4 linked regions of the Oryzias latipes genome follow. The protein of the gene in region 1 purifies or fractionates together with the protein of each later gene. This does not show direct contact. Links are inferred from orthologs where the notes say so. Each region holds a gene or a part of one and is shown on either strand. Other genes may lie near its edges.

Evidence for each region.
Region 2: the proteins of dyrk1a (region 1) and prkar1a purify together in Homo sapiens (affinity purification with mass spectrometry; 6 studies listed by BioGRID and IntAct, with this or other methods). This does not show direct contact. The link is inferred for Oryzias latipes from reciprocal best matches to the Homo sapiens genes DYRK1A and PRKAR1A.
Region 3: the proteins of dyrk1a (region 1) and fam117a purify together in Homo sapiens (affinity purification with mass spectrometry; 4 studies listed by BioGRID and IntAct, with this or other methods). This does not show direct contact. The link is inferred for Oryzias latipes from reciprocal best matches to the Homo sapiens genes DYRK1A and FAM117A.
Region 4: the proteins of dyrk1a (region 1) and sec16a purify together in Homo sapiens (affinity purification with mass spectrometry, with the first as the bait; 3 studies listed by BioGRID). This does not show direct contact. The link is inferred for Oryzias latipes from reciprocal best matches to the Homo sapiens genes DYRK1A and SEC16A.

What each region holds. Positions count from the first base shown.
Region 1 is NC_019871.2:12,328,095-12,331,606, forward strand, and holds part of dyrk1a (dual specificity tyrosine-phosphorylation-regulated kinase 1A), read left to right. Parts: intron 1-1,002; coding exon 1,003-1,199; intron 1,200-1,456; coding exon 1,457-1,549; intron 1,550-1,865; coding exon 1,866-2,054; intron 2,055-2,216; coding exon 2,217-2,364; intron 2,365-2,453; coding exon 2,454-2,740; intron 2,741-2,865; coding exon 2,866-3,012; intron 3,013-3,232; coding exon 3,233-3,373; intron 3,374-3,483; coding exon 3,484-3,512. UniProt on the Homo sapiens protein: Dual-specificity kinase which possesses both serine/threonine and tyrosine kinase activities. Exhibits a substrate preference for proline at position P+1 and arginine at position P-3.
Region 2 is NC_019877.2:4,028,804-4,032,886, reverse strand, and holds the start of prkar1a (cAMP-dependent protein kinase type I-alpha regulatory subunit), read right to left. Parts: upstream 2,806-4,083; 5' UTR 2,648-2,805; intron 1,229-2,647; 5' UTR 1,188-1,228; coding exon 1,014-1,187; intron 1-1,013. UniProt on the Homo sapiens protein: Regulatory subunit of the cAMP-dependent protein kinases involved in cAMP signaling in cells.
Region 3 is NC_019866.2:4,184,063-4,188,319, reverse strand, and holds the start of fam117a (protein FAM117A), read right to left. Parts: upstream 2,806-4,257; 5' UTR 2,445-2,805; coding exon 2,321-2,444; intron 1,421-2,320; coding exon 1,275-1,420; intron 1,051-1,274; coding exon 1,018-1,050; intron 259-1,017; exon of another isoform or gene 1-258.
Region 4 is NC_019870.2:8,822,965-8,827,098, forward strand, and holds the start of sec16a (protein transport protein Sec16A), read right to left. Parts: upstream 2,806-4,134; 5' UTR 2,720-2,805; intron 809-2,719; 5' UTR 737-808; coding exon 1-736. UniProt on the Homo sapiens protein: Acts as a molecular scaffold that plays a key role in the organization of the endoplasmic reticulum exit sites (ERES), also known as transitional endoplasmic reticulum (tER).

The DNA.
Region 1 (3,512 bases):
TATAGTGTTGCTCTCTGCTCATCTTACAGCTCCTTTTATTTCTGTCAGTGGACGGGTATTTCTTTACTTTTCTAAAGCTGGGTCAGCTTTCTTATGCTCTCATATGAAGTGCAGGTTTTAGGCTGTGCAGCTATTTTGCTGTCAGGCTCTTGTGTTGAAAGCAACGTCTAAGTGTGCCAAAGTTCAATTTTATTTCTTGTTTATTTCTTGTTTTCTCATTGGAAAATGGGAGCAGCTCTGCCCTGGCAACAAAAGTAGGCTATTTGCATACTGCGTTGTGATTGGTCTGTGCGTTGATGGGCTTGCCAAATCACGCTGTATCTCTGTGGTGATAGGCTATGCTAATTAGGTGCTGTTGCTGGGATTCTGAATAGTGGTTACTGTGTAGCACTGGTGAATTGTGTTGTCTGGTGAGAGATGCTGATAGCTGAACATGCTATTTAATAATTTTTTGATTCCTTCTGGCTTAAAATGAAGGATGATTCACCGTACAGTGTGGAGATGCTGTATTCTCACCCCTTTTCACTGTTAAACTGGCTGTTTTTTCCCCTTTTCCTCACAAAGGTTGACATATTTCTGCTGTGTTTTGATTTTTTTGGGGTTGTCCTTTGATTGCATTGTTTAACGTGTACATGTTTAACATAGCACTGTGTATAAACCTGACATTTAATTCTTTAATTTACTAGATTTTGCTGTTTTTGTTGGTGTTTATCATCATTTGAGATTGATTATTAACACAAATGTAAATAATGCTGTTAATTTGCATTTATAAATTCCTATAGATAATTTCTTTTCATCTTAAACTAAGCTGAAGTTTTTTTTGTAAATCTAAACAACAAATAATGTTTCTTTATTATATTGTTTTACCTGTAAATAACATAATACATCTTGCTGGCTTTCTTTGTAGCGTTAAATCTCTGATGACCTCTTTTATTTTCCTTTTTCACTTTTGTATGTTTCTCTGTTCAATGACTTTAAAGGGAACTTTAATTTCCTTTTTAGGAGGAGAGACTTCAGCATGCAAACCTTCGTCCGTCCGGCTTGCGCCCTCTTTTTCTTTACACACTGCTGGTCTTCAGATGGCTGCTCCAATGCCCCATACGCACCAGCAGTACAGTGACCGCCACCAGCCAACCACTGACCAATCTGTTACGGTTTTACCGTACAGCGACCAGACACCACAGCTCACTGCCAATCAGGTACAATCACCCTTCCCACTGCCCTTTTAGGATTTACAGGAATAGCTAAACTTAATTGCACACAAAAGTTTGCTCCCTTTTTTTAAACAAGTATCACTAGGCAGAGTAGCTGCATGTCAAATGTCTTTCTGTGTAATTGTGTCACATTGTGTTAACAGCTTTGAAGTTTAAACACAAACCCTGTAAGAGGAACTTTTTACTTCTAAAGTTGTGTTTCTTTTGTTTGTTTGTAAAATGTTGTTGTACTTTTATTTCAGAGGCACATGCCCCAGTGCTTTCGTGACCCAACTTCAGCTCCCCTGAGGAAGCTCTCCATCGACCTTATCAAAACATACAAACACATCAATGAGGTGAGGCTTTGCTTTAGTAAAAGTTCAAATCATTCTTTGACATTTGTTTTCCCCTTGTTTTAAGATGTTTGCTATTTCAACATTCTTTTTTTTTAAATTGGTAGTCTTTATTATTTTATGAATTTGTTGTTCATAAAGATAGATATTTTTAATTTATAAGAAAAAAACATTATTATTCATTTAAAAAAACAGGAATTTTATACATGAAAAACCTAATTTGTTGGAGCAAAATCCAAAGGAACATTTAACATTTCCTGAAGAAATCTCTGCATGTGCTTTTCTGAAATGCATTCAATTTTCTTTTTTTCTTTTTCAGGTTTATTATGCAAAAAAGAAGCGGCGGCACCAACAGGGTCAGGGTGAAGACTCCAGTCACAAAAAGGAGAGGAAGGTTTTCAATGATGGCTATGACGATGATAACTATGACTACATCGTCAAGAATGGGGAGAAGTGGATGGACCGCTATGAGATCGATTCCTTAATAGGAAAAGGATCATTCGGACAGGTGAGGAATTAAAACTGACAGTCTGTTATTTGTCCACTTCTAAGGGGTTCCAGCTTTCTGACCTTCCTTTTTTTGGTTTTAAATCTTGATGTTTAGTGTAACAAATGTGCTTCAGATATAATACTTTTAACATATTTAATACTGGTTTTGTTCAATTCTCAGGTTGTGAAAGCTTATGACCGAGTAGAGCAAGAATGGGTTGCCATTAAGATCATTAAGAACAAGAAAGCTTTCCTTAATCAAGCCCAGATTGAAGTGCGCCTTCTGGAGCTTATGAACAAACATGATACGGAGATGAAATACTATATTGGTAATTTACTTTTGATGTCCCACATACAGAACAAATCCAACGGCTTGCAGTGTCAGCGACTAACGCGTCCAATTTTTGTTTCTTTGCAGTCCACCTGAAACGTCACTTCATGTTCCGTAACCATCTCTGCCTCGTGTTTGAAATGCTGTCATATAATTTATACGACCTGCTTCGAAATACCAACTTCCGCGGCGTCTCACTCAATCTCACCCGGAAGTTTGCCCAGCAGCTATGCACGGCACTACTCTTCCTGGCCACCCCCGAGCTCAGCATCATCCACTGTGACCTGAAGCCCGAGAACATCCTCCTTTGTAACCCCAAGAGGAGTGCCATCAAAATAGTGGACTTTGGCAGTTCATGCCAACTGGGACAAAGGGTATCTACCATCATATATTTCATCTGCTATACAGTCTATGTGTGTTTGTGAGAAATGGTTTGCAATTTTCAACAAAAGCAATGCGCTTTACAGTCACCCTCACTTCCCACGCTTTGTGTTTGTAGATATACCAGTATATCCAGAGTCGCTTCTACCGTTCTCCAGAAGTGTTGCTGGGAATGCCCTATGACCTGGCCATCGACATGTGGTCCTTGGGTTGCATCTTGGTAGAGATGCATACCGGAGAGCCTCTATTTAGTGGAGCCAATGAGGTATAAAACATGATAAAAATATCAAAGACATATGTGGAGCTTATTGATAACAGGAATATCGAAAAGTCACCTTGTTTGTAGTTCTTCAATAAAAAAGTACCCTTAAAACTGGATTTGTAAGCCGTGGTGTGTTCCTACAAGAGCTTAGAAGCATTTTGACATTTACCCTCATTTATAATGAGTGCAAATACTTATTAAAAGATGCATTTGGTTTCTTCAGGTGGACCAGATGAACAAAATAGTCGAGGTTCTTGGCATCCCACCCAATCACATAATGGACCTAGCCCCAAAAGCCAGGAAGTTCTTTGAGAAGCTTTCAGATGGTACATGGAGTGTTAAGAAGACCAAAGATGGCAAAAGGGTGAGTTGACAGCTTTAACGCCAACTGATGGGTGCTGATGACGGAACTGTCTTGTTTGATGTCTTGATATGCACATTAAAAAGCTTTACATGTCTTTGGTTTCTTTGTAGTATAAGCCTCCAGCTTCGCGGAAGCTCCA
Region 2 (4,083 bases), on another chromosome or scaffold:
AGACACTGGTAAAAGCTAAAAAGATTTTTTTAAATGCCCCTGCAGAGTTAAGAAAAGACATTTTTTGATTTTTTTTTTGTTTTGTGTTTTGTTATTTAATGTTTACTTATTTAACTTTTTTGGTTTGCCTACTATACAATCAGAAAAAAATGCAAAAATGGATATAAAAATGTGCATATATCAATATATACGCACATGCTTTAGCACACTGACAGAAAAACACATAACTTTAGAAGCCCACACCAGTGAAAATACTGTGTTTATGTTTTTAACAGGTTCTTGTGGCATTTTTCTGATGACATATTAAAATCAAAATTGCATTACTGAGTATTTCTTTATTCATACTGTTGTGAAACAGACGCTAACGACAAAAGATTGTCTTTATGGCGTAGAAAATACTCCATGAGCTCCCTGTGCTGAGCTCTCAGCATTGAGGACGGAATTGGTCTGCGCCAACGGTCCCGTCCACAACTCAGAGGTGAATTTCTAAGGAGCTACTGACGCTCTGCGCTCTACAGGTTTTTTCAATTTGGCTAAAAACAATATAGTCATAGTTAAAAGACGGCTGGAAATACTCTTAAAATAGATCAAAAAATGATCTGAACAGAACAGATTGTATATGTTTAATGCTAAATAAAACATATACAAATAAATACATAATAAATAATATGATCTTCTTCAGCAAGTCATTTTCATCTTCTTCCATTTTGTCCCTTTCGGGGTCACGGGGCTGACGAAGGCAGGGGACATCCTGGACAGGTCGCCAGTCTGTCGCAGGGCCACATATCACACACTCTCACACTCAGCCAGGACTTGAACCGGGGGACTTCTTGCTATGACGCAAGAGTGCTAACCACTGTGCCACCGTGCAGCCCCTTCTTCAGCCAGTGTGAAAGTTAAATAAGAACTCACGGCTTAGTCACAGTCTTTGAAGACTGTGACTAAGCCGTGAGTTCTGGGATGCTCATCCTAACATCTGTCCACTAAAAGTTACAGTTTAAGGGCAAACCAACCTTCTCCAGCCTCTCGAAGTACTCCCGGAGGAAAGCCATGGGCCTGTCGGGCCTGGAGGTGCACAGCTGGACAATGCAGTCCTTCAGCAACTGCTGGATGTTGTGTTTCTGCACGTACTGCTCACACTCCCTCAGACTCCGCTCCTCCTCGCTGCTCGTGCTTCCAGATGCCATGACGACAACCGCAACCCTGCTCTGTGACCTCTACCCTTGTGCTGGAGTGGGGAAAAGAAAAAGAAAAACAGCTGGATGTCAAATCAGCAACGTGGGATTCACAGATTCAGTGATGTAAATTTAAAACTTTCTTCTCAAGATGGGGAGGAAAACAAAAAAGATAGGCAGAGACCAATGTCATGAGAGACAAAGACAACCCAAGAGCTCAAAAACAGGATGAGTACAACCACAGAGCAAAAAGTGGTCATATGATACGATCAAACATATCTCACTAAAGAGATCAAACTGAAAGAGAGCAACGAAATCTGTATTAAGGAGGCATAACTGAACAATATTAAACAAATATGTTGGGCATTAAAGATCAGGGATTAAATTCTCCATAAGAATGAACTCTCTCATTCTAGAATTGAAAAATCCTCTGGAAGAAAGGGTGAAATAATCATGAAATATTAGTTATTTTTACTTTGATGTACATTTTTAGGTTACACTACCGCTTAAGAGCTAAAGAGCCTGAATAAAGCTTGACCAACTGTGATCTCAGTCATGGTTTCAGATGCATTTCTAAAGCCTAGTTGGGATCAATGTGTGCCCTTTAGATGAATAAAAGGTCAAGGACGAGGCCCGGGGAACAAATCAAACTATGCGCTTTGTCTTCTCCACAGTCATTCTCCACGCACACACACCAATAATAGGAGGGAGATTACGAACCATGTGATCAAAAATGAGTCTGGCATCGTTTTACTGTAGCTAACTACGACAGGAGGTAGAAACTTGAGTTTGGTTTAGTCCAAACTAGAGCAAAATACAAGCCAGACAATAATCTGTTCAGGTCTGATGTGTTATTTAGGAATAAATACATTGTCTATTGTGTTTGCATCTATTACATTTATCTAATAACAGAGTAATAAAATATTAAATGCAAATGTTTTGTCTCATTAAATTACATGGAGAAGCGTTAACGACAGAAACAGTACGTATTTAGCAAAAACAATGTGATGTCATGTAACTAACTGTAAGGATGCATTACAATGAATTATACTTAAAAAAAACTACATGCAGAAAACAACAGTTTATTTACAACCACGGAAATATGTTAGCTTATGTTCCTCGAGCCTCGTCTACTAGCGTCAGGATAGCTAGTTCGACAAGCAGAAAGCAACAGCCAAGTCAACTACAGCCAGAGGATTACATTAAAAACACACACAAAAATCGATTCTTATTACTATGATGAGTTATTTCTTTGTCCAATTTAAGATCCTAATCGACTATCTGTGGCCTACGGTGTGCCGTAATGAGCGCGTCTCGTGTGATGCCTAGCTGGCTAGCTCAGTGCAAAGGCAAAGCTCCCCTTCAATGACGCCATCTTGAGTTCTAGCATAAACAAACGAGGAACGAAGGAAACAAATTTCACCCATTTAAAGGTCAAACGCTCCACGCGCCGAAACAACAAAAACACTCACTTGAAACTGTAAAATCCCACCGAGCCTTTCGACAGACACTCGGTAGATTAGATATTTTATAAAGCGCCCCGTTACCCGATCCTCCTCCTCACTTCGATTTTTTTCCTGGCCCTGGACCGCTGCCCCACCGGATACGGTTGAGGACCAATCAACAGCCGTCATTGACGTCAATCCTTCTCGTTCTGACATATGAGCCCGTTTCCCCTGGCAACCTTAAAGCGATCGCACCAAATTTTGATTTAAAGTATAGGTTTAAAAGTTTTTATTTTTCAGAAAAAAAAGGATTCTGTTTCTAAATAGTACTGAATCCTACACTACGAAAAAGCTGTTAGAACAGTTGACACATGGTCACATTCGAGACTTTCGCAGAATCCCTTATCTTTATTATTATTTTTTTTATTTATTTTACCTGTTTTATCTTGCTATTATTATGGCTTTTTTCCCATTTTTGTTTATTTTTCTGGTAAATGTCAAAATGTTGTCATTTGCACAGTGTTTCAATGTTTGATAGTCGGTTACAGAATATTTGTTAATAAAGTTGATTAGAAAAATAAATGTTTCCTCTTTTTTTTCAACTTCACTTTTTATTTTATTTTAAAAACTAAATAAATCAACTTATACTTGCATTTATTTACTTACTTTGGAAAATGAAAACGTTACAAGTCAAATAAGAAGACAACATAGAGGACGGACAAAAAAAACAACAAAGTAGTTGAACAAAGAAACAACAAAAGTAGTTGAAACAGAACCAAAAGACACAATTTTTGGGGAGAAATTAACAAATAAAATCCAGCAGAACAAGTTTTCATAAGCCAAGGTTCATGTAGAATTTGCATAAAGCTCTATGACAAATAAAATTGACGTAATTTATAGAATTTAACCAAAAGGGGGGTTGTTTTTGAGTTGGCTTTCCTTGTGCTATCCAATGAAATCACCAAAACATTTCCTCCTGACAAAACCCGAGGTGCCCCTGACCAATCAACAGTAACATTTTTCCAAGAAGGCGGGTCTTATTTGATGTCTCGCTGCTTTGTCCAATCATATGGCAGCTTGGAAAGATCTAGCCAATGAAATGCGGCTAAAGACAAACTAGTTTGTTCCCATTAGCCAATGGTGACTCACCTCAAAATGACGCATCATCCCATCAGCTGTTTTTGTTTTGTTGTATTAACGTTCTTAATAACACATTAATATCACATTTGAAACTAGCGGACAACAGATTAGCTATCCCGGTAGAGCAGTTGGCGGTTTTTAAAACCCGTTCGGGATATTACTGTCGGCGGGTGATGCGTGCTGTCCGGGGGAAGCTGGCAGGACAAGATTCGGGTCCATAAACTAAGAGTGCGACTAGTGCGAGCGTGGCGCTTGATCGGGAAGCAGAGAAGGGGAAGCGGACTCCAGTGTTGATCGTCCCCAAGCCCACGGCCTCCGACCTC
Region 3 (4,257 bases), on another chromosome or scaffold:
CTGCCTAAGCTAACGATGCATGCTGCGATTCAGATCTCTCTCCCTGCAGCATAGTGGCTCTCCGTCTTACACAACAAAACCTCCTTTTAAGCTGTCGGCTTCACAGCGCCACAGAAAGGCCGCGGCGAGCAGGTAAAAATCAGATACGACCCGCTCTCCGGTTGACTAAAACGCCCGGTGCCTGGCTGGAAAGCTCAGAATGCGGCAGGAGTCGGTCATAGAGGGACGTTGGTATAGAGTTACAACCCCCCCCAACCTCATCCAAAACCAACAACTCCACCCTCCCCAAAATATGAGCCAGGGATCATGAGATACAGACCTATAAAAAGACAGGGAGATAGCACCGCGCTTGGACCACTTGAGTTTCAAGCTTGGAAAACCATTCAGGAACAAATGAAATAGCTGTCATTCACCAATATTTTGTCACTTATAAACCTGTAGACTTCAGATTACTGATTTAATTCAGTGAAAGACGTCAACGTTTGACATCCACATGTGGAAATGTTCTCCAACGCCGCTTTAGCCGAGTCGAAGGCTCATTCCAGGAGCGTTTTCTCAAAGGATGAACACATTTTAGAACATAAATGGATCTTGTTCCCAGTGGTTATGACAGTTGTATGACTGGTGGCTGATCTGAGGTCAGTTGATCCGTCGATGAGCATCTGTGGCGTTACGGCAGTTCGTGTGGAAGTAAGCAGTTACACCATCTGACATAATGCAGAGAAACTTTGTCAAAGGGGGGGGTGGGCTGCTTGTGCGAGTGTGCTTGAGGAGAGTGCTGGGGGATGGGGTGTCTGTATAATGAGGTCAGGAGGGGTTTGTTCCTCACAATGGAAGCAAAGGGGGTTCATGTGGGTTTCAACCGTGCCAGGAGCGACGATGAAGCTGCGGAGCCTGAAGATGTTACTCTGGGCTTTGTGCACTAGATTGGAGCCGATACAGTGGGGGGGGGGGAGTAGAAGAGCAGAGTATAAAGAAGAACAAAAAAACAACTATTTCCAGTTGGCTGATTCTCACCCTCTGCCTCCAACTGGAACCACAAGAAGACACCTGCAGAGCCAACATCAGATATCTTGTCTGTTATAGAAATCCTACAAGCGAAGGAGCTGACAAGCATTTGGAATTCAAGCTGCCTGCTTTTTCTTATCTGCAACATGAAGCAACAGGTTTTACGCACTGGCAGGATCACTGCTATTCTGCAGTCATCTTCACCTGCTGTAATTACACGGGTGTTTTCATCACTAATTTACACGTCGGTGGCCAGTGACATTCACCTGGGTGGCTTTGTCGTTGACACAGGTGACCGCAGAGCCCTCCGCCTCTTTGGGCCACTGTCCCTGCAGATAGGGTCCCACGATTGTGTCCAGGGAGAGAGTTCTGCGGATTGTGGGTTTCGGTGGGCGCGCCGAGGTTCTGTCCGCTTTAAGAAACAGAGAGGATGTACATGGAATCAAGGAGACTTTCACTTCCTGTTTCTATGGCGACGTAGTCGCGTTCTACCTGTAGTAATCTTATGAGTAAGTAAGACGATCCGGTGGTTTACCATAGTGCTAGTTTGTGTCAAGATCCCTTTTTCTTAATGTGTGCAGCAAAACTGAGTAAAAGTAAAAGTCTGGCAGGTGAGGATCACGCATTTGACCTGGAAACATGCTGCTAATACATTTACCACCAACCTGAGAGCACACATGGCTTCGCTCTCAGCGTCCAGGGTTGCAGGGACGCATAAACAACATGCAGATGTGAATAGAGAAACAACAGAATCAGAATCCTTTCAAATCCGCTGCTGCGTTAGCATCAAGCATGCAGCAAGAGAAAGCCTTTAGGTCAGAGTGCAAAAGGAGGAGCAGCTAAGTGTCCAAATAACATTATGAGAGGAGTGTAGCTTGACTTTCACATCGTGCTGAAACTGTATTTGTAAGCCCACTTTTGGAAAAGAAAATATTGGACAACTGGTCCATTTGGTTCTCCAATAGGCTGAGAAATGTGACTTTTTTTCTCGAAACTAAATTGTAATAATGCAGATTTTCTACTGTCTCTTGAGTCACAGTATGCGGAATGTTGTCTAGATATTTAAGTGAATGTGTTTGTCCACTAATAAAAACTGCAACAAAAGCCCTGGATTGGTTCTAGAAGATCCCCTCATGCAACTCGATCTATTATACATACATCTATGATTTAGTTATCTAGTCAAAAGGATCTGCATCACTCACTCATTGTTGAGCAGTTGTGCACTTTTTTTGTCTCACATAAAACAATAAAGCTTTGGACCACATGGAGGTGAATGCGCACTGACACCCCCTCCTCTTGCGTGCGTATTTACCCGTTTTGACCTCCCTGCAGAGGAGAGCGGAGCCCCTCTGGAGCTGGTACGGGACCGTGGCTCTGAGGGGTTGCAGGCTTGGGTTGCTGCACCCCCGGGGCGCTCCTCCACTCCGGCCTGACATCTCGCCTCTTGCGTCCCGCAGCCGGGCTTGTAAAAAAAAACACACCGCTTCTTTGCTCCGCGCTCACGGCTCACAGCAGCTCCTCTCTGCGCGCACTCAGTTCATCCAAAGCGAAGAAACCGCGGCGAGTCCTCTTGATTGGCACAACTCCCGAGCTTTCTTCTGCACACACTTTCATCTTTCTTTTCAATGGATTCTTTTCTTTCGATAAGAAGAACGAGCTGCGTGGGTTTGCACTTTAACGCGTCCCGGTAATCTGCGCGTTCTCCGTCATTACGCAGAAATGCGCTCCGGCGCAGAACATGCCTCAAACATTACTGCAAAGTGACAACACAACAGCTCAACCTGCACAACTATCCCGTGCAGCATATGGGCGCACCAGAGGATTTCTCACTGGTTGATGCAGATTTGTGCGGAGCGCCGATTGGCTTTCGGGTGGGTCTGTCATCAGAGCACACGGCCCAGCTGGAAAACTCCCGCCCACTTTGTGAAAACGTTCATTTTCTGTGCTTGGAGCGTCCATTCACATGGTGTGTGTGGTCTGTAAGCCTCTAGGACCTCTGAGGGTCACTGCAGGGGCTCCTCTCGATGTTCAGATGAGGTTTGGAGGGTGAAGACAATCAGGAACATGTTCTGTCACGAGGATGGAGTTCACTTATTATCCTGGTCTACAGCACTTTGTGTTAGTTCAGTTCAAGAAAATGATTTCAGACACGTGAAAACGTGCGTAGAGCAAGAAATGAAGTCAAAAGTATTCACCCAACACAATCCAAAAGGGAGGGAGAAGTATTACTAAATGTAGTACACCCACTGTCAAAGTTCAGGGCCCTAACTAAGATATGAAGGGACATGTTTCCAGATATGAAGGGCTTTTAAAGTTTTTTAATTTATTATTTCTAATTAGGATACACCCATTTTAATTTTATTTTTTCCCCACTTAATTGTTTTATGTGTAGTTGATTATTCATTTATAAGATATGTAAACTGAATGATTTCTTGGCCATCAGCCTTCTGTATTGAATTCTGAATTTTGTCACTATAAAAAAAACCTGAAAAGTGCTGTACAGTATAAACAAAGATTGTTTTGATTTGATTTGAGGAATAATGAATGTCGAAACTGATGTCAACCCGAATTATTTTTTTAAAAACATATTTGATTCAATTTTTGTATCATATTCGAATGAACTTCAGATGTTTAAAAAAACAATTGGACAAAATGGCTTGCTTGACCAGAGGAGGAGTCTTTCTGATTTTAGACTACAAAAACTCTTTTTCTGGCCATTTTCTTTTCAATAATTGAGGTTCTCTTTAAAATTGACCTTTGAACACTTTAAGGGTAATTAAAAGGCATATCAGTTTATCCAAATTTATCCAAAACTTTTTAGTTTTGACATTTTTGTAAATAAATGTAGCTTAATAAACTACATATTTAAAACCAAATTTTAATATGAATAAACCGTGTCAGAAACAAAATACACCACATGTAGTTTGGGTCTTATCTTTTATGATAACTAGAAGTTTTTCTTGGTGAATGCTTAAAGTATTCATGTCAAGTGTTGTGCGGTTAAAAAAACACTCCTTTATCAACATGTTAAAATAAAGAAACTGAATTAAATTCTTAAGCACTTTAAAAATGTTGCATCATGATTAACTCCTTAAAATAAAAACTGTAACCCAATTAGGTGTCGTGGATTTCTTTGCCGACATCAGAAAATAAAAATATTAAAGTATAGAGGATGTGTAACTGAATTCAACAAGTGATAAAAATGTGGAGGAATCTAATGAGGTTTGACTTTGTTTAAAGAATAAAGTT
Region 4 (4,134 bases), on another chromosome or scaffold:
TGTGATGAGGCGACTGACTGTGAGGGGGGTACATTTGAGGCTGTGGATCTATATTCAATAGCTGTGGTGGAGGATCACTAGTAGGCTGGAAATAGTTTTGAACTGATGGGGGGCGACTTGTGTGTTCAGGAGCCCACTGAGGAAAAGATGATGCAGGGGGGTGCGGCTGAAAGTGAACAGGATTAGAAGGAGGCAGTTGTCCTTGAAATGATTGGTTAAAATGTGTCTGACTGGGTGCTGAAGTTGCTGCCATTGGTGGGGACTCGGTCGACACGGACGACGTTTGATCTCTCGAATTAAAGTAGCCCTGTTCACTATTTGAAGATGTATGTTCTGTTTGACTTGGAGCAGGTAGAACTCCAGGAGGTACTGCACTGTGATGGTCTAAGAGGGGAACCCCTGGCAAAGTGGATGGTGGAGGAACAGATGGAGCAAACGGAACACCGCCCAGCGATTGCGGCTGTGGAGGCAGCCCCGACCCATGCTGGGAATACGTGGCACTAGGTGGTGTTTGCATTTGAGGAAGGTTGCCCGTTGGTATTGTTGGGATACCACCTGTAGCCATAGGGGGAGGAGCTTGACCAAAAGCAAAAGGATTTGTCATGGGTTGGGTAGCAGGAGGCATTGTACCAGTCGCTGCTGCAGACTTCTGAGGCCTGGTCCTACGAAACATATTTGGCCCAGAGGGAGGAGGGCCGGAGGCTCCCGGAGGTCCAGCCCGAGGAGGAGGTTGCATGTTTAGAAAACGAGCGGATCCCAATCACTCTGTAAGGTATCACTGAAGACACTCAGGCGCAGTCAGGCATAGCTGTACAGAAAGAAAAGGAGCAGTCAAAGCAGACCCGTGTCCCCTTGATGAAGTCATCCACACCTTTATTTGTATAAACAGCGCAACGTGGCAATTGTTCATAGAGTTCTGAATTGGTTCTGGTTGTAGCAATAATAGTTATTGTATTTAAGTATGTATTATTTTAAAAAAGGATACATAATGTGAATTCAGTGTTAAACTGCAGTAACATGATTTGGATTTAGTGTCAATTAAAATTTTTGTACTGAATTGCAGAAAATCTGAGCTTTTGAGTTTAGAATTTTATACTTTTTAAACATTTATTTATGGTTTGAACAAAAACAAATATAGTCCCACTCAGATCATCTTTTAAAAGCGTTTCCAGTGGTCTTTTAATTATGATTATGCCGTTTTTAGCCACAAAAACAACCCCCACCAAACAACTGTGTTGTTTTCTAGGACATAGTTTTTGCAGAGCGGCAGTGGTTCATTAAAATTTTGCCTCCAAGTTGTGGGCAAAACTGTTCGTGCAGTGTAATGTAAGCCTGACACTACTTCCTTTCATCCTTTTGTTTACACTCTCTCCTTCTAGCTTACAACCCTTCACACCCCCAGCCTAACAAAAATGGCGAGCAACATCGGAAATAGCCAGTTGTACAGTTTGGAGCCTGATGCCAGCTCGGATGCGGAAAATAATGGATCTATTCGCATTTGAATGGATCGGAGAAGGGAGCTGCTACTACTACTCACTACTACAAGTTTTTTCCAACAACATTTTTTCACCTGCTCCTGATTCACAACGATTTTAATAAAGAAAAACTCAGAAATGCTTAATTTTCTTTATATATGTTCTCCATCAGGAGAAAAATGCCACAAGGACATTTGAAATACACAATCTTTTATCAGAGTGAGTCTTTAACACTTAAACTTTTGTACAAAGATACTGAAAAAACTATGGTCTATCACTATTATATATTCATGACTATAAAAGGTTTCATTAACATTAAGTTAGTGATTATTTTAAACTAAAAACAACATTTCTATGACTTTAGAGATCAAGAAGAAACTTTGACACATTTAAAACAGCTGCGCTTTGTTTTTTCACATTTTTCATTCACAGAAAATATGACAGCATTTTTGTAAAGTTACACATTAATTCGTGAAATTCTGATAAAATATGCCAACTGACAACACAAATGAGTAAATCAATCAGATATACTCAAATGCAGATTAGGAAAGGAATAAGACATTTTAGCTAGCTAGCTAAAAGGGCACAGCTTGTGTTTTCCACTAGAGTTGCTACGTGATCCCGGATCTTTAAGTGGTTTATATTGACATAGACCGGTTGCAACCCGGTAAGCTAGCGCTAACGTTGCTGGCATTCTAACTTTTGATAAGTCACAAATGCAAATTGAAAACTCTCGACTTTCTCTCAATACTCTCAAACTTGTTGTTACATAACCAAGGCGTACTCCCTTCGATCATGTAGAGTTAGCCTGTACAGATCAGAGTGCCAAAGAGGAAGAGTGCGAGTGCTTGGCTTTACAAAGCTAACGGGAACGCTACATGTCCTGAACGACATATCCAGCAAAACAAATGTTTTAAGTATGTAAAAATCAAACGAAACAGACCAAAAACAAGTGATCAGCTTCAATTCGAGTAAAATTTGCACTGAAAATGACAAACAGATATGCGATAGGACTCTGGCCACTCGTCGAGTGTTAATTAACAGGTTCACTGCCTGGTCAGTTAGCCTTAGCATTACTGGTTAGTTAGCATGGCTAACTACCTAGCCTTCGCTAACTACTCGTGAACACTTTAATGCTTCTTAATAAAACAAATGAAAAGTTCAGCTGTCAAAAGTGTCAATTATATTATCAAAATAGGGTCATTTGATCTCACAAATGTTTACAGATAAAAGTCAATTCTTACAAATACGCAGGACACTTGGTCTGACACACCACCATCTTCAATGAACACATCCTTCTGGACTACGTGTACAAGCAGCGTCACGGGCCAAATCCCGAGTGGGCGGGGCTGATTCCAGGGGCGTCTCTAGAAAATCCTGGCTCGTGGGGCCAGATGGGTCCCATTAAAAAAAAGCACAACATATTTTCCTTTAATTGGGATACGATTTGATTTAGTACAGCTTAGCTGTGTAAAACATAGTTTTTTAATCTTAAAGTCAACATATTTACATAGAATCTGAGGATGGCAATATTTTCAGAAATACTTTTTTTTTTTAAACTATTTTTAATTTGGAAAAAATTAAACAGACAGGAAAAAATATAATTAAATACAAAATATTGAATATATTAATTATATTAAATATAAAAAGTCTACTACTCGGAATAAAAAGCAGAAAAAATCACCTTATTGTAGTTTTTGGCAAAAATACCTAAATGTTTAAGATTTTTTCAATATAAATGCAAGGTTAGACAAAGAGTTTCTTTTAGCAAATCTTAAAGGCAATCTGACTTAGAATGTGTGCATGATCAACTTTAATGAATTAAATTAATTAAATTTGTCATAATATGTTATCTCTTGTTTCATTTTAACCTCTGGTGAGCATTTTGATACTAAAAAGCTTGTTGGTGGCAGCAATCTGTCCTTTTGGCTTTTGAACAAACTGAACTTAGACTTACAGCTACTGCTTTTACAGACAGAAGGTCAGAATTTTTTTTATTTGATTAAAACAGCTAAGTGAGGAAAGCAGAAATTTGTTTTAGTTTTTAATTGACGTATTCCTTATGTATTAGTTTGTTTATTGGGGTTTGCAAAATCCCCTTGATATTAAATCAGTTTGTTAAAATGGGGAACGATCTACGTGTGTGGACTTGGAGACAGTGGGGAAGTAGTTGATGTCTGAACTGGCCTTTTAAAAAGCAACTTTTAGTGTCTGCTTATAAATTTATTTGGCTTGATGTGACTCAAATGCTTATTGTAACTCACAAATACCTCAAACAATGTGGTTGATAATTAAGGTGGCATATATGAACATGCTTAGATCAACCTCAAGATATGGTCATAGAAGTTTAGGAGTATGAGGTTCTAAAGGTGCCCAAAAAAGGGTTGAAACCGTGTTAAAAGCTTATGTTAGAAAAGGCATTCTCTTCATTGTCTGATAATGCCTTTTAGAAAGTGTTTATGTAACGGGGCCCATGCTAAAACATGCTAATGACAGTGTTTTGAAATTAGGAATAAATTTAAAAGAGCCCTAAAAGGCTGCATAGAATTTTGTGGCTAACTAAAACACAATATTTCATGAGAATGAATATGCGCTGGAATAAACAGAAAGGAAATGGAATTAAAATATTTTGAACATAACACGACTCTAATTATATAGT